Caenorhabditis elegans: one gene and its partners. The protein of the gene in region 2 interacts with the protein of the main gene of each other region in a pairwise test. Each region holds a gene or a part of one and is shown on either strand. Other genes may lie near its edges. The genes, in order: F37A4.1, rad-54.L, ZK1067.3 and Y102A11A.2.

What was found.
Region 1: the proteins of rad-54.L (region 2) and F37A4.1 interact in a two-hybrid assay, tested with the Caenorhabditis elegans proteins (one large-scale study listed by BioGRID).
Region 3: the proteins of rad-54.L (region 2) and ZK1067.3 interact in a two-hybrid assay, tested with the Caenorhabditis elegans proteins (one large-scale study listed by BioGRID).
Region 4: the proteins of rad-54.L (region 2) and Y102A11A.2 interact in a two-hybrid assay, tested with the Caenorhabditis elegans proteins (one large-scale study listed by BioGRID).

The regions. Positions count from the first base shown.
Region 1 is NC_003281.10:6,721,611-6,726,232, forward strand, and holds F37A4.1 (alpha/beta hydrolase), read left to right. Parts: upstream 1-1,778; 5' UTR 1,779-1,793; coding exon 1,794-1,911; intron 1,912-1,957; coding exon 1,958-2,169; intron 2,170-2,213; coding exon 2,214-2,477; intron 2,478-2,524; exon of another isoform or gene 2,525-2,610; intron 2,611-2,808; coding exon 2,809-2,970; intron 2,971-3,017; coding exon 3,018-3,207; intron 3,208-3,255; coding exon 3,256-3,326; intron 3,327-3,371; coding exon 3,372-3,434; intron 3,435-3,492; coding exon 3,493-3,824; intron 3,825-3,869; coding exon 3,870-3,906; 3' UTR 3,907-4,114; downstream 4,115-4,622. Other genes in the region: bath-41 (BTB and MATH domain-containing protein 41), read right to left, coding at 24-175, 242-342, 391-546, 592-647; F37A4.2 (PRKRIP1 family protein), read left to right, coding at 946-1,041, 1,093-1,217, 1,266-1,614; wdr-4 (tRNA (guanine-N(7)-)-methyltransferase non-catalytic subunit), read left to right, coding at 4,185-4,277, 4,322-4,414, 4,465-4,622.
Region 2 is NC_003279.8:9,063,188-9,070,772, forward strand, and holds rad-54.L (DNA repair and recombination protein RAD54-like), read left to right. Parts: upstream 1-1,891; 5' UTR 1,892-1,899; coding exon 1,900-2,003; intron 2,004-2,417; coding exon 2,418-2,496; intron 2,497-2,569; coding exon 2,570-2,813; intron 2,814-2,856; coding exon 2,857-2,996; intron 2,997-3,095; coding exon 3,096-3,441; intron 3,442-3,514; coding exon 3,515-3,639; intron 3,640-3,684; coding exon 3,685-3,803; intron 3,804-3,847; coding exon 3,848-3,925; intron 3,926-3,972; coding exon 3,973-4,099; intron 4,100-4,147; coding exon 4,148-4,255; intron 4,256-4,300; coding exon 4,301-4,409; intron 4,410-4,720; coding exon 4,721-4,887; intron 4,888-5,277; coding exon 5,278-5,619; intron 5,620-6,046; coding exon 6,047-6,144; intron 6,145-6,265; coding exon 6,266-6,377; intron 6,378-6,420; coding exon 6,421-6,495; intron 6,496-6,786; coding exon 6,787-6,870; 3' UTR 6,871-7,077; downstream 7,078-7,585. Other genes in the region: snx-3 (Sorting nexin-3), read right to left, coding at 547-652, 741-961, 1,008-1,073, 1,116-1,211.
Region 3 is NC_003280.10:9,221,567-9,225,681, forward strand, and holds ZK1067.3 (uncharacterized protein), read left to right. Parts: upstream 1-1,702; 5' UTR 1,703-1,708; coding exon 1,709-2,101; intron 2,102-2,148; coding exon 2,149-2,238; intron 2,239-2,284; coding exon 2,285-2,545; intron 2,546-2,594; coding exon 2,595-2,737; intron 2,738-2,789; coding exon 2,790-3,051; intron 3,052-3,472; coding exon 3,473-3,523; 3' UTR 3,524-3,610; downstream 3,611-4,115. Other genes in the region: znfx-1 (NFX1-type zinc finger-containing protein 1 homolog), read left to right, coding at 1-851, 895-1,024, 1,071-1,168; abu-14 (Activated in Blocked Unfolded protein response), read right to left, coding at 3,846-4,079.
Region 4 is NC_003284.9:2,025,073-2,031,517, forward strand, and holds Y102A11A.2 (Chromatin-remodeling ATPase INO80), read left to right. Parts: upstream 1-1,569; 5' UTR 1,570-1,580; coding exon 1,581-1,650; intron 1,651-1,701; coding exon 1,702-3,377; intron 3,378-4,282; coding exon 4,283-4,369; intron 4,370-4,412; coding exon 4,413-4,469; intron 4,470-4,518; coding exon 4,519-4,614; intron 4,615-4,690; coding exon 4,691-4,780; intron 4,781-5,054; coding exon 5,055-5,180; intron 5,181-5,791; coding exon 5,792-5,908; 3' UTR 5,909-5,938; downstream 5,939-6,445. Other genes in the region: Y102A11A.3 (Protein unc-13 homolog A), read left to right, coding at 25-98, 145-223; Y102A11A.5 (MliC domain-containing protein), read right to left, coding at 5,971-6,171, 6,224-6,421.

The DNA of each region.
Region 1 (4,622 bases), on a different chromosome or scaffold from region 2:
GAAAAAAAAACAATCCGACTTACCCTGAGAATGTCTAATGAAAAGAACTTGCTTGCAGTCACGATACCACTACGATTGATCGTAACAAGATTCTTATTGAGATGGCAACTTCTTGGACCGTCTGCTGTTTCGACTGTAAAGCTGACACGGAAACGGAGACGAGGATTAGGGCATTCTGGAAAGAATCTTCGTAAATAACATTTAATAACGAAAAATGAAACACTTAAAGTTCTCTACGTACTATTTATGAGCAGAAAAAGTGAAAGATATCCGGCGGTTTCTTCGTCTTTCCCATTCGGAAATAGTTTCATGACAAACTCATAATCCCCATCTCCAAATTTACTGAAAAATGTAAAACTGATTAATCTTAAACATATTATATTTGCTTACGGTGCCAGCATGAATTCTGCTGGATTGTGAAGCTCTAATTGTACCGTGAAGCGCTCAACGGACCAATAATTGGTAAAGCTTCTCTCATTCATAACCGTACGGCAGCCGGAAACAATGCTTGGACTTTTTCGTTTTTCGGACTTCCCAGACGGTGAGCTGAAAATTAAAAATTTTGGAGAAAAAGAGGTCGTCAGAACTTACCGTGACGGAATCGAAACAGCCGCATTTTCTGGTTGAGCCCCGTTATTGATTTCCATTCTGTAAGCTGATGATGAATTGAAGTTGACTTTGAAACTATAGAATAATGAAAAGTAAATATAATTATTTGATAAACTTTATATTTTAACTGATAATAAGCAACTTCCTATCTAGAAGTAGCTTCTAAGAAAGCCAAAACAAAAAAATTGGATTTTGAAACTGCAGTACGACGCTCCGAGATGACGCAGCGCGTGTAGTTTAGCGTGCCAATCTTTTCGATTTTTCGCGGATAAAACATAAAATTTCCCGGTTTTTTTGCACTAATTTCTTTTTTGATAATTTCTAGAAAATCTCATTATGCCACGAGATGATCCAATCACAGAAGAAGAGCGCCGAGCAAATTCCGCAACCGATTTAATTCGGATGAGACTGGCAAGATTGCAACAAAATATTGTAAGTTTAATTTAGCTAAAAATATAATAATTTTATTTGTTATAATTGCAGGACAAGCCCGCTCCAATTCCAATTAAAAAGGAGACACTGAGAGCGCCAAAAGAACCTTTGGAATTCGTGAGAAATGTCGTTGGTTCTTCAGCTGCTGCCGGAAGTGCTGAATTTCATATTTACAGGTTAGAAAAGTTATACTTTTAATTTGTCTTTTCATATCCAAATTTCAGAAACAACCGACGAAAAGAACAAAATCGACTTGACTACATTGATGCGGTAGCAAAAAAAGAAGAATTGGACGATGCCTACCGTCACAAAGTAGAAAAACTTGAAAAGGAAGAAGAATCAAAAACCGCGAAGAAGAGAGCAAAGCGATTAAGGCAAAAAGCTGCTGCTAAGAAGAGAAAATTGACAAAAAAGAATAATGAATCTGACGAGAGCTCATCAGATGATTCGGATTCAGACTCAGGATCAGGATCTGATAACGAATCTGAAGGAAAACAAAACACAGAAGTCGAAGACAAAGATAAAGTTGAGAAGGAAGAAACGGATGATGAAAAAACTGAAGTTTCTACTTGAAGTTTTTATTACGGAATAACTTATTTGTACATGTTTGATTTAATATAATTGTTTTTCTCAATTGATGTTTTTTTTTGTATCAAAATTCTGAAAAATGGTATATATGTCCATTACATTTTATATTGTCTTTTGTTAATTGTGTTTTCCCTATTTACATATTTCAGTAGCAACTAGTCGAAATGCCGTCCTTCTGGACGCAAATTTCGGGACCACGGCTTTATGGAATTTTTGGACAACCCAATCGACAGGAACCAACACTGGAAAATCTCGGAAACACCGTCATATCGTTTTCTGCAGGTTATATTATTTTATGAAGCATAACCTTTTCCAAACTTGTTTTTAGGAATTTACTACATTGCCAGTTCATTAGCTTTTGGCCCCGTAATATTATGTTACTTGTACAGTCGAGACTGGCTCACACCAGCTGGAATGCTGACAATTCTGAAATATGCCGGATATTTAACACTAATCGGTTATGGAGCAAGAACATTCGGTCGGCTCTTTGACGAAACAAACTCGAGATTTTTAGATATTTGGGAAAACGAAAAAAACAAGGTATCAGTTGAAATCTTTATGTTTATGTATTAATTACGTTTCAGAAGGATGACAACAGTCATGCAGCACTAAAGAAGTACGACTTTGAACTTCTAGACGTGATTCCCGATTTTGTAGCTCGCCCCAATTCGGATTTATGGCATTTAAAACCAGAAGTCGCTGAAGCCGGCGTTGTTACTCGCGGTCTGGCGAGTTGGGCGATTCACGCATTTGGAAGACATTTGATTTATCCCGGATCAATGGCACTTTTGAAATACATGATGAGACCAAATTTGAATGCTGCACGAAAGCTTCTGGTTCAAAATAAGGTGAACGACTTTAAAAACAAAAACAATTTAAGTTCAATAAAAAATTCTGACACGGGCAGGATTCGAACCTGCGTTCGGTTAGAACCGTTTGAGATCAAGTGTCTCATGCCTTAAACCACTCGGCCACCGTGTCAGTGGTTCTGAATTTATGGCAGGCTGTAAACGGGACAGTATAATAGTAGATTATGGTTGTAAATGAATACAGTGTTTTAATCCTTGTGTCAAATTCTGAAAAAAAAACAAAATTTCTTTCCTGAAAGTAGATTTCTAGCTTTTGAAGAAAAAACGGTAAAACATAATTTTGCAACTAATTAATTTGCATTATTTTCAGAATGGGCAGCGTTTGTGGATCAAATCGTCAGAAGGAGACACTCTCGATGCGATGTTTTTGAGAGGCACTAATCAATCACAGGATCTTATAATATGTTTTGAAGGAAATGCCGGATTTTATGAAATTGGAGTAATGAACTCTCCTGCTCAATTGGGATATACGGTAAAACAATCTTTTTCGTAGCCAATTTCATTTATTCGACTTTTCAGACTCTCGGCTTCAATCTTCCGGGCTTTGGAGAAAGTACGGGACTTCCATACGCAGTAAACACTTTAGCAGCTGCAGACGCAGTAATGCAGTACGCTATTCAAGTTCTTGGATATCGCCAGGAGAATATTGTTCTTTTTGGGTGGTCGATTGGCGGGTTCCCAGTTGCTTGGCTCGCGTCCAACTATCCAAGTGAGTATAATTTATGCTATAAAAAATCTTCTAATATATAATTTTTAGATGTAAAAGCAGTTGTATTGGATGCCACATTCGACGACTTACTGCCACTTGCGCTGTTCAGAATGCCGACGGTACAAAATTGAAAAAAAAAATTGAGGTTAATGTTTCCATTTCAGTTCTTCTCTACCATTGTGGAGCATGCGATCAGAAACCATATGAATCTTCAAATCGATAAATTGGTATGTTAAGAAACCTTTAAAACTGCTCGAAAGACTACTTTAATTTCCTAATTTTCAGCTCGCTCGTTACAAGGGACCAATCCGTCTGATTCGACGCCTCCAAGAAGAGATTCTGACCACTGCAGTTGATGATCAACCCGAGAATGTTCGACGAGCAACAAATCGAATCAATTGGCTACTCAAATCGATCATCAAAGACAGACATCCCGAGTTGATTCAAAATTTGGAACCACAAGTAGATCGTTGGCTCGACATGACTCCAACCGAACGGCTCATGCATTCGGGAGTCAGCTTGCGCGAAGAATCAACACAAAGAAAACGTCTTTTTGATGCATGTAATCACTATTTGATTGATTTCGACGCAAATCACGTTACTCCTCTCGATCCACAGTAAGTTTCTCATTTCCAGTAAATCTTTTCATCGCAAAGTTTCAGATACTTCAACATTCCGCATGGCCGTGATACCTTCTAGGCAACCATCTCAATTATCAACTCAATTGTTCACCTTTCTCTTTGTCCCAACTCCCCAATCGCTTGTACATTTAAATAATAATTGTATTTAGAATAGTCGATAATATTGGGTGCAATATTTCTTTATTTATCGAATGTCAAAAGAAAGCTAGTATTTATTTGTATTTATTTCATTGTTTTTTAAATAGTCAAGCAATGAGTCATGCGCTCTTCGATACCTTTTGTTATAGTTTTAATGTTCAGAAAATTCAATATTAATAACTCGATATTCAGACTGACATGTCGTTCATCACAGCATTTCGGGAACGAGTTTTCATTGCATCTGGAGACTTGATCCGTACGTTCAGAATCAGCGAAGAAACTGAATTGAAGGTGTTTCATATTTTTAAACTTGAAATTTCAAAATTTTATTTCAGAACTTCATTAGTTGGTCAAAAATCAACCCGGAACGGATTCAAAAGCCTTCCTTCGATATTGAAAAAGAATTGAAAGCTGTTGAGAAAAGAGTGGTCAGTCCTAAAATAATCGAAACGTTTGTTCTGATAGTATTTTTTTGTAGATTCTGTGTCTCGCTCATTCCAATGTCTTGACCACTCATGGCCGGCGACTTGTTGCAGTTGGAACAAACGAGAAACAAATCCACGTCTTCGAGTATTTCGTTAATGACAAAGGAGATATCGTCACAGCGGAACACATTGTTACCTCTGTCGTTCCAAA
Region 2 (7,585 bases):
CTCGTTTTAATGATACACTCAAGATATTTGCGATATGCACACAACTGCCAATTTACCACTTTAAAATCCAAAGAAACGAAATCAAGGAACGGAAGACTTATTTTTCATATTTGTTCAAATAAAAGGGGTTCATGCAATAAAAATAGTGCAATCAATTGGGAAATTGGGAAACTATACACAAAAATGTAAAAATAAATATGAAATAAACAGGAGCCAGAAAATGGAAATCAATGGGAAAGAAGTGGTGATGGGGACAAAGTACACAATTTCGAAAAATACCGCATTTTGGTGGAGGGATGGAAACAATATTTTGATGGGCCGAGATTAAATTGGAAAAAAGCTTCTAAAAACTCACTTTTTGAAAACTAAATATCTCAAAAGATCAGAAAGCGTTACTCATTTTTTGTTATGTAAAAATATGATAAGAAAACATTATCATTTTTTAAAAGTTTCCTTCTGTTTATTGAAACAGACAGCGTTAAAACTATAACTCTGGGTATTTTGAGATTTTTCTCGTGAGCGGAGAATTTAGAAACATTTTAAAATTTAAGCGGTACGAATTTTGCCAGGCACGTAGTTTTTGTCAATAGTTGGCTCCTGGAGGAAAATATGGAGAGAGCGTTCGTTTTGAGCAAGTGGATGTCCAGCAACCCTGCAAGAACATATTATTAAAACTTTTAGAAATGTGAAAATTTTCTGAGTTCATTTTGATGTCCGTATAGTTGAACAGTTTTACGTACTTATTGATGAATAACTCGAGAGCTTTGCGCCTATTTTCAATGAATTCCTCTTCAAAAATTCCATCATCGGATCGGAATGGCAGTTGCCGTTTGAATGATTTTCCTGGCAACGTTGGAACCACAATCTTGCTATCTCGCTCTAGTTCAGCACGAACCCATTCGAAATCACTGTATCGGCGACGCACGCTTGATTCTTTCTGCTTGAAAACGGGGAGATTCGACTGAAACAACGATTTTATTATGCGGTCAGTGTTAATCTATACTTACTCTCATTCTGATTTCGTAATCCGTGTAGCGCATTTTTCCAACACCATGAGTGATAGGATTGATAACCTGCAAGTTATCTTGATCTAATTCATTGATTTTTATTCAAACCTCAATTTCAAGGAAGTTGGCCGGCGGGGCATATGCCTCGTCCAGCGTTTGCCGTTTTGAAGGGATCCGCTGAGTTGCCGACGCGCCGGATGCCATTTGCACTGCAAATATTCTAAATTATATCAAAGTTGCTTTGAATTGTTTATTTAAGTATCGATTTTCACAATATAAACAAAATAAAAGTGAAATTTATGTTGGAATCCAAAGCTTTAATCGACAACATGCGAGAACATCGTTTGCTTTTTGTTTCGCTGTTCGGCAAACTAAAATGGAAAAAATAATATGAAGCTGTGAAAAATCAATAAATAAAACTGGAATTTCAAGGAAATTACGGCAAAAATGACTCATCGCGCGCCGATAAACAAAACGAATCAAGAAATGAAAAAAGTGGCAAAAGTACGCAAACACTTTTGTGTTAATGCACACAAAAAATTCAACCGTACCTCAAACTGAAATTTCAAAAGCAGACACCGCAGATTCATGGAATGAAAAAGCAGTGACTCGCTATGACTCAAAATTTTAAAAAGATTATAATTGATTCAAAAGCAAAAAAATGTTTCACAACAAATCTATGTTGTAAAATAATTGTTAAATTGAAAATTAATAGCTGACACCGCCCTGTGTCCGTGTTTCGTCTTCTTCGAAACTTTGTTTTCGTTCAAGATGGCGCGGCGCCGTTCTTTTTGAATAAAAAGAGCATTTTAAAAATTTTGTTGAATTTCTGTAAATTCTACTTGTTTATTCAGTTGTTCTGCGAAATTAAAGATTTTCTTAGTTTTCAGGAATGCCAAAAAAAACGTTCGAAAATTTAGAAGATAGTCATGGAAAAGATGTTAATATCCCAGTTGAACTGCCAAAAAGGAAACGAGAAGTTACACCGGAAAATTTGTGAGCTTTTATAAAAAATTCAAATTTTAACACATACCGTATTCCCTCTATTAGTCTTGCATGCAAGACTAATAGAGGAAATACGGTAATAGTCATGCACCCCTATTCTTGCCAGGCCAGCAGTATTTTGTCAAAACTTCAAAATTTTCGCCATTTTTTAGCTAAATTAAATTTTAAACTGTTCAAGTAATTGATAAAACAATAGAAAAGCATGTATTTTGCATGATTTAGACTGTTTCAAGTCAAAATTTTGACGATAAATGGCCAATTTAACAAAGCTATTGGATCTTCGAAAATTAGTCTTGTAGCCTCTAATAGTCTTGCAGTCCCTATTAGTCTTGCACCCCTACGGGTCTATTGAAAATTAGTCTTGCATGCAAGACTAATAGAGGAAATGCGGTATATTATTTTCAGACCTTCCACAAGCTCTACTGCTCCAACACAAAAACGGAAAAGTCTAGGATATTCAGGACGAACGGAGGAACCGAAAAATGTATTAATATTTTTAGTTGCAATGAAATACAATTCGGAACTTAATTGTAATTGTAATTTTTAATGTTTTTCAGATACACAAAACCTTCATTTCCCCTTTTTCTACGTCAGTTTCTCCTTCAAAACAAGGTCTTCGACGACGAAAGAAGGCACTGCCTGCCATAGAACCACCTGTATCTGTAGAAGAAGCAAGTCCATTACGTTTTGTGAATATCGATGTATTCTCTAGACGTATGGCTTCCGAATCATCAGATCACGATGCTATGATTGCGAAGTTGTTGTCGAGAAAGTTTTCAATTCCGATGGAGGGATATATGTGTAAGAAAACATGTAAAAATGTTTATTTTAAACGAGTTTTCAGTATCTGGTCGAAGCCTAGGTCTTGGTGGAAACCGTCGAAAATGTGCTCTATTTGATCCATATCATGAAGGTGCATTGATTCTTTATGCTCCTGAACATCTTAGTGAACACGCACAACTCAAGGAAGATAAGGATCGAAAGGTGAGAATTTTAGCTGCGAGAATCGAAAAAAAAACATGAATAAAAAAAACGACTCAAATATTGCAAAAATATGAATGTCCATTTTATCAAATTTTTCAGGTGCACGTGGTAGCCGATCCGGTTGTTGGAAAAATCCTGCGTCCGCATCAAAGAGATGGTGTTAAATTCATGTGGGATTGTGTGACTGGTATTAATATTCCCGAATTTCATGGATGTATTATGGCTGATGAAATGGGTCTTGGAAAGACACTTCAATGCATTTCTCTACTTTGGACACTTCTACGACAAAGTCCCGATGCGTGTCCAACAGTTTCGAAGAGTATTATCGTTTGTCCAAGTAGTTTGGTGAAAAATTGGGATAAAGAAATCAAAAAGTGGTTGGGAACACGGCTGAATGCGATGCCAGTGGACAGTGGAAAACGAGAACAGATTATTGCTTGTCTCAGTGAGTGAATAAACTTGAAATCTTGAAGAAAATGTTATAAACCCCTGAAATTAAGTTAATTTTCCAACTTCAGATTCATTTATGGCGGATTCAAAAATGCGTTGTGCCATCCCTGTTCTCATTATTTCATATGAAACATTCCGTCTTTATGCGAATATTCTTCATTCTGGAGATGTCGGAATCGTTATTTGTGACGAGGTAGATACTGTATTGTTTTGACTCTATTTAAAACGAGCTTTTCAGGGACATCGACTCAAAAACAGCGAGAATCTGACGTATCAGGCGTTGAGTGGTCTCAAATGTGCTCGAAGAGTCCTGATTTCGGGTACACCTATTCAAAATGACTTGTTAGAGTATTTTAGGTACTATTTGTTCAAAATATTCAATTATTTTTAATTAACTTCAGTTTGGTCAATTTCGTGAATCCCGGACTTTTGGGTACTGCAAGTGAGTTCAGGAAGAAGTTCGAGAATGCTATTCTAAAGTTAGTTATTTTTATTCCCAATTTTTTTAATCCGTGATCTTTTCTAGAGGTCGCGACGCCGACGCAAGTTCAGAAGATCAGAAGAAAGGTGAAGAGAAAACGAAGGAAATGATTTCACTTGTAGAGAAATGCATTATTCGAAGAACATCAGCTCTTTTAACAAAATATCTTCCGGTATGATATGAAAGTTTCTGATTTCTAAATAAAATTATTTAATTTCAGGTTAAATATGAGCACATCATCTGCTGTAAAAACTCAACACTTCAAGAGACACTCTACAATAAACTTATCGAATGTGAAAAACAAAACCGCATTGTCGAAAAGGACAAGGTATTTTGTTTGAAAATTCAAAAAATACAAATAAATTGTTTTTAGGGTGCCACCGCATCTGCTCTTTCGTTTATCACTCATCTCAAAAAGCTTTGCAATCATCCATATTTGGTTTATGATGAGTTTCAAAAACCTGATAATAGGTTCAGAAACAGTGAGTTTAGAATTTCAGATTTATAAAAATGTATTCAAAATCAAGAAAAAATCGGAGCATTTAAAATCGGAAAAAAAAGTTCAAAATTTAACTATAAATTTCAATGTTTCGTAAAGCTTTGTTTATGCTGATGAAAAAAAAAAGAAAACGTATAATATTCTTCAGAAAAAACCAAAATTTTAAGATATTTTTCGAAAATTCAAAAAAATTTTTAATATCGGAAAAACAAAAAAAAGGTTTCGATTTACGATTTTAGTGAAAAATCGAAAAACCGACACCGTTTTTCACAAACTTCTGAAAATAATTTTCAGAATGTCTATCCATATTCCCTGAATCATTTAACCCGAAATCATTTGATCCATCGTTTTCTGGAAAAATGAAAGTTCTCGATTATATTCTCGCAGTCACTCGCAAAACAACTGATGACAAGTTTGTTCTCGTATCAAACTACACACAGACAATTGATCAATTTATGGAGGTAAGCGAATTTCCAAAAAAAAAATGATTTATGATAAAAATCTAGACCGACTTAAATGTGGAGTTCGCTTCAAAAAATCATAAATAGTCTCAAATTCAGAAAATTCACAACGGAGAAAACGAAAAAAAAAGTCAACTTTAAAAAATCAATTTTCCATGTTCGGCTAAATGTTCTGTTTGAATTTCCTTCAAAATGAGAAGCCCACTTTCCAAAAAAACAAGGAATTTAAAATGTCGATTTGTTTTTTTTTTCGCGATTTGTTTGCTTTCTTTTGTGGGTTTTTTGGAATGTATGACTATTTTGGATTTTTTGAAGCAAATTCACCACCTTTAAAATCTAGACCGACTTATAACGTGGTCACTTAAACTTTGAAACTTCTTCACTTTTCAGCTGTGCAAACTTCGTGGCTATGATTTCGTGCGCCTTGATGGTTCAATGTCAATCAAACAACGTTCCAAGATTGTCGATACATTCAATGATCCAGCCAGCACTATCTTCTGTTTCCTTCTTTCTTCGAAAGCTGGTGGATGTGGTCTAAATCTTATTGGAGCCAATCGATTAGTTATGTTTGATCCGGATTGGAATCCAGCGAATGACGATCAAGCAATGGCGAGAGTTTGGAGAGATGGACAGAAGAAAATGTGTTTCATCTATAGACTTTTAGCAACTGGATCAATTGAAGAGAAAATGTTTCAACGTCAGACACATAAAAAAGCATTGTCATCGTGTGTGGTAAGATTTCCTCTTGTTCATATAATCTAAAAATGTTCTAAAGACTACTAGAACTAAAATGTTAAATTTTGCGATTTTGTCAAAAAATTCGGTTCCCCGCTTCGACTTTTCTCAAATGCAAATGAGTGTGCGCCTTTCAGGAGTACTGTAGTTCTCAATTCCTCGTTATCGTGAAACTTTTTTTTAATTTTTTGCTATTTCTTTTTCGCCTTTTCAAATACTGTATTACATGTATCTTAATTTGCTGAAAATTCTGAAAAAAAACCTAGAACCACGGTACTCTTTAAAGGCGCTCGCCATTTTTAATTGAAAAATTGGTCGTGTCGAGACGCGGTAACTAACTTAATTTTAGAGTGAAAATTGCAGATTATTATGTGGTTATTATTATCAGTATCTGGGTATTTAATAGTTATCTTAAAAATTTCAGGTTGATGCGGGTGAAGACGTAGCTCGTCATTTTAGTTCCGAGCAACTTCGAGAACTCTTCAAGTTGGAATCAACAGTGGCATCGGATACACATGAAAAGTAAGTATCAGAATGAAAATAATATTTTTTATAAAACCGATTTTATTTTTGGTGAATTTTTCTTCTGATAGTTATAATAATGTTATGCATTATAATGTACAATTGTATAAATTTCTTTCAGATTAAAATGTAAAAGATGTATTCAAGGAGTTGAAAGTGTTGATCCACCAACCAATGCGGACTGTGCAAGTGATTTATCGAATTGGTTTCATTCTCAGAAATCAGCTAGAAAAGTTTGTATTTATTATCTTTATTTTTAAATATTTTAATTTTCAGGTGGCTGATAATGTGCTCCGAGCCGTCTTCGAATGTGGATCGATCTCCTTTGTTTTTCATCAGAAATCGCACAACGTAGGTTTAAAAAAACTACGTCTATGGTGCCAAAATTACCAAATATAATAGTAAAATGTTTCAAAAAAAAGTGGAAATCAAAAAGTGACAATTGCTCAGTTTTTGTCACTCAAAATTTTGGAAGTCGACTAAAACAATTTTCCAAAACCGACTGGATTTTTTTTTTGGAAATTCTTTCGAATTCTAGTTGTGTAGTTTATTTTTCTAATTCTGTAATTTTTAAATTGTCTGTGATATATAATTTAGAATCATTGAATTAATATTTCCATGCTTCAAAATAGCGTTTTGCAGGTTGAAGTCAAGAAAGTTCAGGAAAAAGTTGAAGAAGTTGATGAGGACTACGTGCCTTCTGAAGCCGAAGAAAACGACGATTAGTTAAATGTTTCCAAGTTGAAACAAATCTAGAAGTCTCCCTATTTCATAACATAGACTATCTATGCGATGAAAACGGGACATGTTATATTGTTTTGTTATTTATTTAATTTGTTTCTTTCAATTTTTGTTCCAAGTCATCCCAATATCATTTTTATCGCCCGATCTCATGTAAAATACACCGCCTGCAATATGAATTTTCAATTTATTTTTCAAATTCAGACAAAAAAAAGACAAACTTTGATCAAATTGTGGGTGGGTTGGAAACGAAAGGGGTAGTTGGTAGTTTTTTTTTGCACAAAAATACATTGATACGATGTACAAATTTTCAGAAAAAAAATTCATGAAAAATGTTGAGAAAGAGGAAAAAATTATGCAAAAAAAGACATTATTTTGTAATTTGAGGGAAGAAATTATGCCTATTATTATAATAAAAACTTTAAATTTTCCGGGAAAGGTCAGGCGCCAACAGGTATGAAATGAATATATTATATTTTTTGAGCTTTGATGATGTAAATAAAACGGAAATGTTGATTATCGATCGATTTTTTTTTCAAATTTGAAAAATCAAAATCGACAATCTTCGACTTAGACAATAAATATGCAAAATGTCGCAAAAAATTCAATTTTTTGGGGGAATATTTTGGTCAGAATCAGTTCACTTTTTACAGGTTTGAGTTAACCTATTTGAGGTAATTGACTAGAAGAAATTTTTTTA
Region 3 (4,115 bases), on a different chromosome or scaffold from region 2:
GTTGTACTCTGAAGTGTTTCGAGGAATGCAACGTGAAGCCATGTACAGAACCGTGCACTGATAAACTCAAATGTGGACATGCATGTCTTGGTATTTGTGGTGAGCAATGTCCGAAAATCTGTGGCACGTGTGAACGAAACAAATACATTGAATGTGTTTCTGGCACCTCAAGTACATCACGAGTTCATCGTCTCATCATGATTCCGAAATGTTATCACGTTTTTCCTGTGGAAGTTCTTGATGATCACGTCAAAAAACAAAAAGAAGCTAATGAGAAGTTGAAATGTCCCAAGTGTTCGGCGTTCATTGTTGGAGTCTTGAGATATGCAAGATACACTAAGAAGTATTACTTGAATGAGAACATGAGAAAGCTTGAATCCAATATTCGGAACATCCATCAATCAACATTAGAAGGAAGAGTTTTTCAAGCTGTTCAGGATTCAATTGGAGAAATACGTAATGTGACGACTAATCTCACCAATGCTTCGGAGGACATTCTACGCAACTTCCATCAAAAAATTCTCGACATTCGAACATCAGCGGAAACATTCAAAGGAAAGCCGGAGCACAAGTTCAAATTTGCATCCCTACTTCAAGTTGCAAACTGCTGCCTAGCTATCACCAGACTTTTGTCGGTTTCATCGAAGTTCCGAGTTTCCAGAAGAAAAGACATTCCACCAACATTCGATCTGATGTCAGTGAGAGTTTTAGGAGATATGCCATTTCCAAAATTGATTGATGAGTTGAATCGAGTGAATATTCATCTATCGAATACTTACGAAACGTTCATGCCTGGTGCGATTATTCCAAAGCTGAAATGGCTTATTTCAAGAATGACTGTTCTGCAGCAGGTTCGTTTGGTTTCCAAAATTGACAAATAATTTTGTTTTTCAGCTCACTTCTATGTGCCACCAATTGGTTTTGGAAAAGAAAGACATCGCGGATTCAGATGCTCATGCAATAAATGATGCATGCCTGAACATGTTCAGATACAACGAGCAACATAATTACGCGCTTAATATCGGTATGTTTAATTATTGAAAACTTGCTTCTTATAGAAAAGTTTTCAGAGAATTTCGAGGCTATCGTCGTCAAAGTTGCCCCAAAACTGCTCGAACCTACTCCAAAGTTCTGGTCATGGAGAAGACTTCAAGTTCCAGAACTCTAGTCATTCCATTTTTTGTAAAATATCGTATTTATTTTTTGATTTTAGACCCCCCCCCCCCCCTCCCTTTTCATATCAACGTTTTAACTGTAAATTTAAGTGAGCTGGTACATTTTCCTTAACACTTTTTTGGATGTGGATTCCTTGAGATTTCGATTGAGAAAAATTGAAATTCAGTTACTATTTATTTTTTCAATATTCCCACCGAAATCTTCAGAAATCGTATCCCAGAAAAAACGTGTCCTCTACCCCTCTTTTTACTCGGGTTTTATTGCATTGGCGCTCCATCTCGTTTCGACGCGCGTAATTTGTTTTTGAATTCAGCAGGACCCCCGAATCTCTCCCTCACACTTGTTTTATATTTATTTTTTTTTTAATTCATTTGCATATATTCATAACAAATGAATAATATAGTTAAAACATCTTTGTTTGAAAATTAATTATTTGGCATCGTGAATTCCTGTTTATTGATATTTGTTAATATTTATGTTCTCTTTTTGAAAGTGAAGTTTTACTAATGTTAAATCAACTTTTCAGATCGGAATGGTTTTTCCCCGTCGTCGCTCAATAATTTCACAAGAAGAACGGATTAATAGGTTGAAGGAATCAAGACAGAAGTATAATCGGTTAGCAAAAAAGTCTACGAAGCCACCAACGGTTCCCATAGCTCCAAGAGCATCGATTGCTCCAAAACAGTCGGTAGCTCCGATGGTTTCCATGGCCCCTCAACAATCTATTGCTCAAAACAGTTCCACAGCTTTGAGGAACCCAGTCAGTCAAGTTGAACCTGAGGACGACTTCAAAATCGATCAAAATTCGCTAGATATGATTAAAAGTGGACGAATCGTCATTCCAGTGAATCGTCCATCGATAGCTGCGCCACGTCATACATTCGGAGCCAGAGAGTCATTGATTGGAAAGCCTATGAGCAGATTTGTAAGGACTTTATATTAGAAATGAACTTCATGAACTTTTTGTTTCAGAGAGCCTCGATCGCTTCCCGGGAGCCACGTGTAAGCTTGATGCCACTTGGTATTAATGTCTTCGAAGCAAATTCATCTCAAAGGAATGAGGTATTTGGATTGATATTTCTTGATTTTTAAGTTATGATTTTTTCAGGTCTCAGAATTTCTGAACAATATCACCTCTGGAGCAACTCCAGGCAAACCATCCTCTACCAACAACTCGCTCAATACCACGGGCAATCGTCAGCGAAAAATTCGATTTTTCGAAGTTGAATCCGCAATTCAGGAGGCGCGAGAGTCAGCTGAAGCTGATGGAATAGCTGCTTGTTCTTCTTCAGATGTTAGGCACAGTCCTATTTCGGATCTCAGTTTCAAGCCAACATCAATTTTATCGACGAAGAAGGCTGATAGAAAAGTATCATTGCTTATTATCCAATTTTCTTTCTAAAAAAAGGCTTTTCCAGAAGATCAATCTTGCCAATTGTCCATCGAAAACTCCTAGAACTGTTCTAAACTTTGATGAGACTGATAGCATGAACGATTCGTTGAATCAAGAAATGGAAGAAAAAGAAAAGGAAAATCACATTCAAGTGATCAGTTTTCAAACGTTAGTTAATTTCTAAAATTTAACGATTGTAATAATTCTTCATCTTTTCCAGAGTTCTATCGACACTTTGCGATCTAAAACCAGGTCTCTCCAAATATCATATTGCACTTATTGAAAAGTCAATCGAGAACTGGAAGAATATCTCCGCAGTGAAATCGCCAGAGAAAAACTCCCATGGTCCAATTCCGATTACTCCTCTCGGTTCGATCTTGGAAGCTATGAATATTGCCGAAGAAGATTCCGATGTGCAGGAATATGTTCCAGAGAAAAAGAAAAAACGACGAAGCTCAATGATGAAAGCTGGTGCTGTAAGGGTATGTGCATTTTTATAACAAGCATGTGCTCTTTTTTCAAAATTTTTAATTTTCTATCGAATTATGGAATTTTCATTCATTAATTGAAAAATTCTTTAGTGTTTGATTCGATACTTTGTCATTTTTTCAGAAAGTTTTCCGAAAAAAAAGAGTTGAAACTAATGCTACATTACTCATTTCTAGGCTAATTTTGAAATTTCGACGACTTTTTTTTGGGTGACAATTAAAAAAGATCAAGGAAAAAATCAAGAGAAACCAATGAATAAAAAACGCGAAAATTTTGAAACTTCTGTCGAAAATTCGAATTTGTTTCAGTAACTTCGTTTATATTTGCAAAATTCGGAATAAAATCAATAATAAATTTAGAAAAACTGTTAATTTGGATACATTTGTTTTTCTTCTTTTTAAATTTTTTTTTCAGCGTCGCTCAACCCTTCGTCGCTCAGCTCGAGGACTATTCAAACAGGACTAAACAATACAATTTATTATATGATGATTGATTACTGTGAATATATGTGATTTTTTATTTTATGTTTTGCCGAATGAAAACATTTCTTGTATAATTCTTAAATTAGAATAATTTATTGTCGAAACTCAAGGACAATGAAACATCATGAAAAAGAAGGGAACAATAATAAAATAATTAGACACCTCACATGGCTACCACTTATTTACAGACAATGTCATAATAAAAGTTATGTGAGAAGTGGGATGGGGAAACGAAAACAGAAGTTGTCGCATAGAAAACGCGGATACGGTAAGAATTCGTTCATAGAATTCAGGGAAGGGGATGCTTAACGACGACGGCAGCATGATCCACCGCATTGAGAATATCCAGATGAGCATCCACATCCAGAAGAGCTCGATTGGCATGGAACAACGATTTGAGCGGCTTGTTGACAGGTATTCTGGCAGGTTTGTTGGCAAATTGGCTGGCATTGAAGAACGGTAGCCGATGATTGGCAAGTGTTCATGCAGGAAGATTGACATTGATTCTGGCAGTTGTCTTGTTGTTGGAGGACAATGACCTGTAATATTGATTCATGAATTAATGGAAAATCAAT
Region 4 (6,445 bases), on a different chromosome or scaffold from region 2:
TATATTAATTTAATGATTTTATAGGTATTAGAAGAAGTCTCATATTTCTTCACAACCGCGTGTGTTGCTGCACTTGCATTCATGTCCCCGGCAGAAAAGTATAGTCTTTTTTTCAAATATTTTTTATTAATTTAATAATTTCAGCGATTCATTATTAAATTCGGAAATCATTGAAAATGCATCAAAATATATATCCAACTCTCCGGAAGCAAATGAAAAATGAGACAATTAAAAACCCTAGATATTCATTGATTTTTTGATAAATAAAATTTCCCATTCTATTTTTGGAATAAACATTTAAACTTCTCACTTTTGTTTGATTTTTCAGTGGTGTATTTTCCAAGCGTCTGTAAATGTGAATCACCTATTTTATTATCAATTTACCACCCACATCTCAATGAAGTGTTTAAACAGTGCCTAAACTGTCTTCCCAAGTTTCGAACCTTATCAATTTTCTCTTTCTGAGTCTCGCAAATTTTCATTTCACCCAGTACTTTAAGGCGATCGCTTACATTTTGTGTGGCACCGATCTGTTATCAGTTTTTATGTGTGCCTGTGTGCGTGTGTGTTGTGCATGAAGAGTCGTTTATGACTTTTCTAACCAACTTGATTTAGTCTTCAATCGCTCTTCTCACTATTTTTACAGGAATACTGTTTATTTATGTATAAGGAATAATTTTAATTTTATTATCATTTTTATTAGAAATAATTTTAAATAAACTCTCATCTCAACTTTCGTAATTTCCATCTCGAATTTTTTTCGTGAATTTTTCCACTACTTTAGAGGCCTGTACGGTTTTATTGAAATAGTGTTTTTGCAAACTTTCAATGTTTTTCAAAATATTTAAGGGTAGGTAAACATTTTAGGAAAGTTTTCGAAAATTTCTTTGCTCCATACTGGCGAGAAATCATCCAAAAACGGTATTTATGGGTTTCGTTCCCCTCAAAATGCTTCAATTTTCTTAATTTCAATTAACCACAAAAACGTGAATTTTTTGGAACGATTTATAGAAATGAATGTTTTGTTCCGACACTTTTGTTCACGTTTTTAATTTGAAAAGTCGAAAATTGAATTTCAGAAACGACAAAAACCACAAAAACGTGAACTTTTTGGAACAATTTGGAGAAATGAATGGTTTTATTTGTTAAAATGAATGCTTTGTTTTCTACTTTTGTTCACGTGTTTTAATTTGAAAGGGGGTTATTGAAATTTGGAAAATTAAAACATTTGGGGGGGGGGGGAACGAAACCCATAAGTACCCCAAAGAGTTTTCATAATTTTTACCTGCCCTTGAAAAGTTTCAGCATCTGGTGCAATTCTAGAGGCCTCGAAATTAGTGAAAAAATGTACTGAAAAATGTTTAGATCAAAATTGAAGGCTCAACATTTTGCAGTGACCACCCTTCAGTATATATTTTTCAAATGACACATGTCTCGTTTTGAAATGTAACGGTAAAATGAAAACATTTTTTTAGACAAAAAACCTTGCATCTCTGTTGTTCTCATTGTTAAAATTTTGCTTGCACAAAAGTGTACTCGAAATACAGTTTTTACTCTTAACATTTACAGAAAAAGGCATAATGGCCAACCAAGATCAAAACTATTTAGGACCACGGACTCATCCTCCAAATCTTCAAAAATCTACATCATGTGAGTTTATGACATATGTATAAATACAATTTAAAATGTATAAATTTTCAGTTTCTGGTGCAAAATTGCACTATCAGTACACTGGAAAAGAACAAAAAACGAGCAGTTCCAAAGATGAATCCCGTGTACATCATTCTGAAAATAGAAGTCCACATTTGTCAAGGCAATTAACAGTTGATTATGGTGGTGGCTCAACAGTGGATCAACGATCGCAGCTGGGAACTCAAGCTACTTTCTCACCTGGAAGTTCAAGAAAGACTAATTTCAATCCTTACGATCCAGGTGTTCATACGAAAAGTTACGAGGAATCACAGAAACCGCCGCTTTACGTGGGTTACAATAGTTACGCGAGTCATTCCAATGAACAACCGACAACTGTCAGTAGCTCTAGTGCACGACAAAGCTTTCAGGATTCTGCCAGTATGCAGAACCCAGCAGAAAGCACAAGATCTATTCACTACAGTCGGTATTATCCTGAAAATTTAACTGCTCCAAATGATGCTTCAAATGCAAGAAATCAAAAAAACGAGACCGTGCATCCTAGTACTGATGGAATAAGAAGTTTCCAACAATCCCCGACATCTTCTTACAATGACTCTGCTCAACCGAACTACGAACTCTCAAGGACGACATACTCTCCGGCTTCTCACCGACCTACACCCACTAAGGATTACTCCGATCATCGCGAAAAGCCATATAACACGGCTACATCTCATCAATCAAGTGAAAGATTAAACTCCGAATCTAGAAGTTCCAGAAGTTCTCAACTGACACACAATCCTTCTTTCGATTATTCAAGTAGTAATCACAATACCAAATTAGAACAACCCAATTCTCATTCTCCACACTTTAGCTCACGCGCTTTCAACGCGGTTCGCTCCCCTGTAGTCTCTATGGATTTGCATCATCGTCCAAAAGACGACGTCACCTTGGCAACTTCGACTGCTTCACCACTCTCTTTCTCTGGGCACAGAGCACCACCTGCCGAAGTGCGTGAAACTCTACCCATGTCTTCTCAAGTAAGCACATTTTTAAGAGGTAACGAGAGTTCTCGGCATTCATATTCAAACCCGTCCACAAAAGTAACTACGACTCCGCCAATACAACAATCACATTTGGGTACAAACTATCTCACAACTGTGCAATCATCGAACTTAGACAGAAGTCCTTCACCGTCACGATCGAGATATATGAACAGTCGAGATCGTCGTAAAACAACAACAATCATCCCATCTTCAATTCCACAGTCCAGTGAGTATAAATCAGCTTTCCAAAGGGAAGCCCCAGCAGTGTACTATACAGAACCTCAATCAACATACAAGCCTCTGCCCATGAGCTCTCAGACGCAAAATAGGAATCTCACAATAGGATACACTCCAAATCAGTTTCAAGAAATTGAAAGAGCTCAGAGGGAATTCAAGAATCAGAAGAAACAGGAGGAAGAAATTCGGGCTAAACTTGAAGCCAAAAAGAAAGCAGAACAAGAGAAAGAGAGGGCAAAACGAGAAGAGCAACGAAGAATTGAAGAAGCTGCTAAACTGGAATATCGGAGAAGAATTGAAGAATCGCAGCGGCTGGAAGCAGAAAGGCTCGCATTGGAAGCAACAATGGTTGATGAAGATGAAGACGTGGCAAAGTTTATCCGCAATCTTGAAGAAAGAATCAAAGACTCACGCGATTCAAAAAACTTGAATGGCGCTCTCGTAGGGCGCCAAATCAACCAGAGCGTAGGTATTCCATTTTAGAAACAATATATCTCCTCTTTTTGATTTTACAGAGGTGTGCGGCGAATCTCTAAATTCGCCGAGCTCGGCAAACCGCAAATTCGGCAAATTTGCCAAGCTCGACAAATTCGGCAAATTTGCCAAGCTCAGCAAATTTGGCAAATTTGCCAGGCTCGGCAAATTTGGCAAATTTGCCAGGCTCGGCAAATTCGGCAAATTTGCCACGCTCGGCAAATTCAGCAAATATTATAGTAAAAAATGTTTAACAAATTCTAAATTTTATATGATTTTTTAAAATTTAGAAAAAGCTCAATGTTTGTAATTTTTTTTAGAAGTCATTTATCGAAAAAAAAAACAATTCTCCTTTGAATTTCATGGCTTACTTGTTTTTCAAATATTATATTATATTATATTATAATATTATATATAATATTATAATATTAAATATTATAATAGTGGAGTGGCACCAAAAATTTTGAATTTTTTCAAAATTTCCAGTCAAAGTTCTGGCACACTGCCAAATTTTTGAAAAATATATGTTTTTAAAGAAATCCAAAGCAATGTCGCATCTTCTGACCTCTAGAGTGTTTTGGCACACTTAATTAAAATAAAATTGAAGTATAAAAATCGTAGGAATTTTTTTTAATCGACTTCCAAAATTATAAATGGCAAAACTGAGTAATTGTACCTTTTTGACAGTAAATAAAAATTTTTCAATTTTTCTCGAAAAGTTTTACTATGATATTTGGTCATTTTGGCATCATAAAGTGGCTTTTAACAATTTCCCCACTGTCGCTACTCTTCCTTTTAGTTTGAAATAAAGTGCATAACTGACAGAAAAATATGTTCTTCAAAGTGTTTTCTGCCCTTCAGTAACTATTAGTTTCCCACCAACGTCACTTTTTCAGCTTGCAAAAAATGCGGAAAATCTCACAAGTGCGCAGACTGATGAAGACAACGGACAAGTTGAAGGACACGACGGCGCTAATGATCAGGTGGGTATCGTGTCGTAAAAACGGTCGTTTATTGCCTTTGTAGGAGTCTATACAAAACGTTGCCGACAGCTCGGAAGAGTACACGTTTCTTCAACGAATTGTATGTGTAGCTAGTTCTTTACAACTTACAATTTACTTATTTATTTCAGAAAAATATGAAAACCGATCAGAACGCCAATCGCAAAAAGTATGCCGAGCATTATTATGATTTTGATGATTATGATGACTCGGAACTTCATTCGACGGTATAGTAATCTTTCTATTTTTATATTTATTCTATTTATTGTGACTGACTCACTATTAGAACACTCACATTTTCAGACAAGCATGAATTCTCTTCTCTCTACTGTCACTGAAGAAGATCCTGATTCCACTTCACTCAATAATCATTCGACTTCAACTAATCCTAAAGTAATATTTGCGCGAGTGGGGAAGTGCTTAAAAATTACTCTACATAATGGTGACAAAATGACAGAATATCATAGTAAAACTTTTCAAAAAAATTTTGGAAAATTTTAATTTTCTGTCATAATGTGACAACTACAAAGTGTTTCTACGATTTTTACACTTAAATTTTTTTTTTCTGAAAATTTTCGAGTGTTTTGAGTCACTATAAGCGTAGTTAAACAAAATCCACACATGCTTTTCTTCACCTTCAAACAGTGCTATAAATTGAAAATTTCAGTTATCTACTCTTCAGCCAAGTGTCATCTCTTTCATCCACGATCTGGTGGACGGCATCTTATCATCTTTAGATAAAACCGATATTTCAAGACCTACTGATACTCAACATCTTATTAAGCAGCACGATGTAAGATTCCATAGACCCAATACGAAAGTATCAATAACTAACCCTAGAAGGTTTGAAATTTTGATTCAACTGATAGAAAATGGGCCGTAATAACCGAAATTAATTGTAAAAAAAATTATAAACTTTTATTAAATTTTTAATGATTTTTTTTTCAATTTTGCGACAATCCAAGAAACGGCCATATTAAATTTTAATTTTCTCGCAAATGAGTGACGTCATTTTTACACTCACAGGGTTTACTTCATAATTTTATTTGACAAACTAATTGTACTTTTCTCAAACATAGTTCCGTGAAGAAAACTTGTTTACCCAAAAAAAATCAGCAATATTTTTTATGCGGAAAATTGCTGGAAAAATTGACAAGCTGTGTTTCAAATATAACATTGAAAAAAAATAGAGAAAAACAGATAAATATAATCTGAAAAAAAGAAAATGTCAAGAGTGACGTCACTTATTAGCGCGGGAATTTAGATTTAATTTGGCCGTTTCTTCGAATTTTGCAAAATCGGAAAAATCATTAAAAGTTTAGAAAATTTGATTAAAAAAACGACAGTGCTCTTCCAAACTGAACTCTATTTAATATGGACTTTATTTTATAATTCAACTTTCAGGAAGAATTCTACAATAACTATCAAACCATGACTACTGATACAGTCCGCCAGTTTTTCACCCCGCAGTATTCTCAGGAAGAAGCAACTACAAGCACTTTTTATAATGACTCTTTATAATTGAAATTGATGAATAAACGAGACAATTTTATTATCAGTTTTATTATTGCTATTCCTCTTGTTTACTTTCCGCAGTTTCCCTCGGAGCACGCGATTCCTTGTCTGTCGAGTACATTGAGAGTATACTCATCATCAACAGCTGTCAGGAACCATCCGTTTCCAGTGAACTTGGATTGAGTCTTCTTCTTGAGAACCCATTTGTCGTCTTGCCATCCGTAGATCATGAATACCCATGGCTTCTGCTCGCAGTTTTTTCCCTTGATCTGAAAAAAAAACTGGAATATATCAAGAAAGCCTGCAAAATGCGAAACTCACATGAACACTTTTCTCGTGCTTCCACGCGTCAAGAATAACTGGGTCAGACATGATAGAAAGTGATGGGACGAGAAGATCGATACGAATCTTTTTGTGCGCATCATTACGGAATTTCACTTGAATTTTACACTCGAGATTCCATTGTGTAGAAACAAGTCCAATGAAAGCACAAAGCAAAAGCAGCTGAAGAGAGTTCATTTCGATCATGAAAGTAGCCTATCA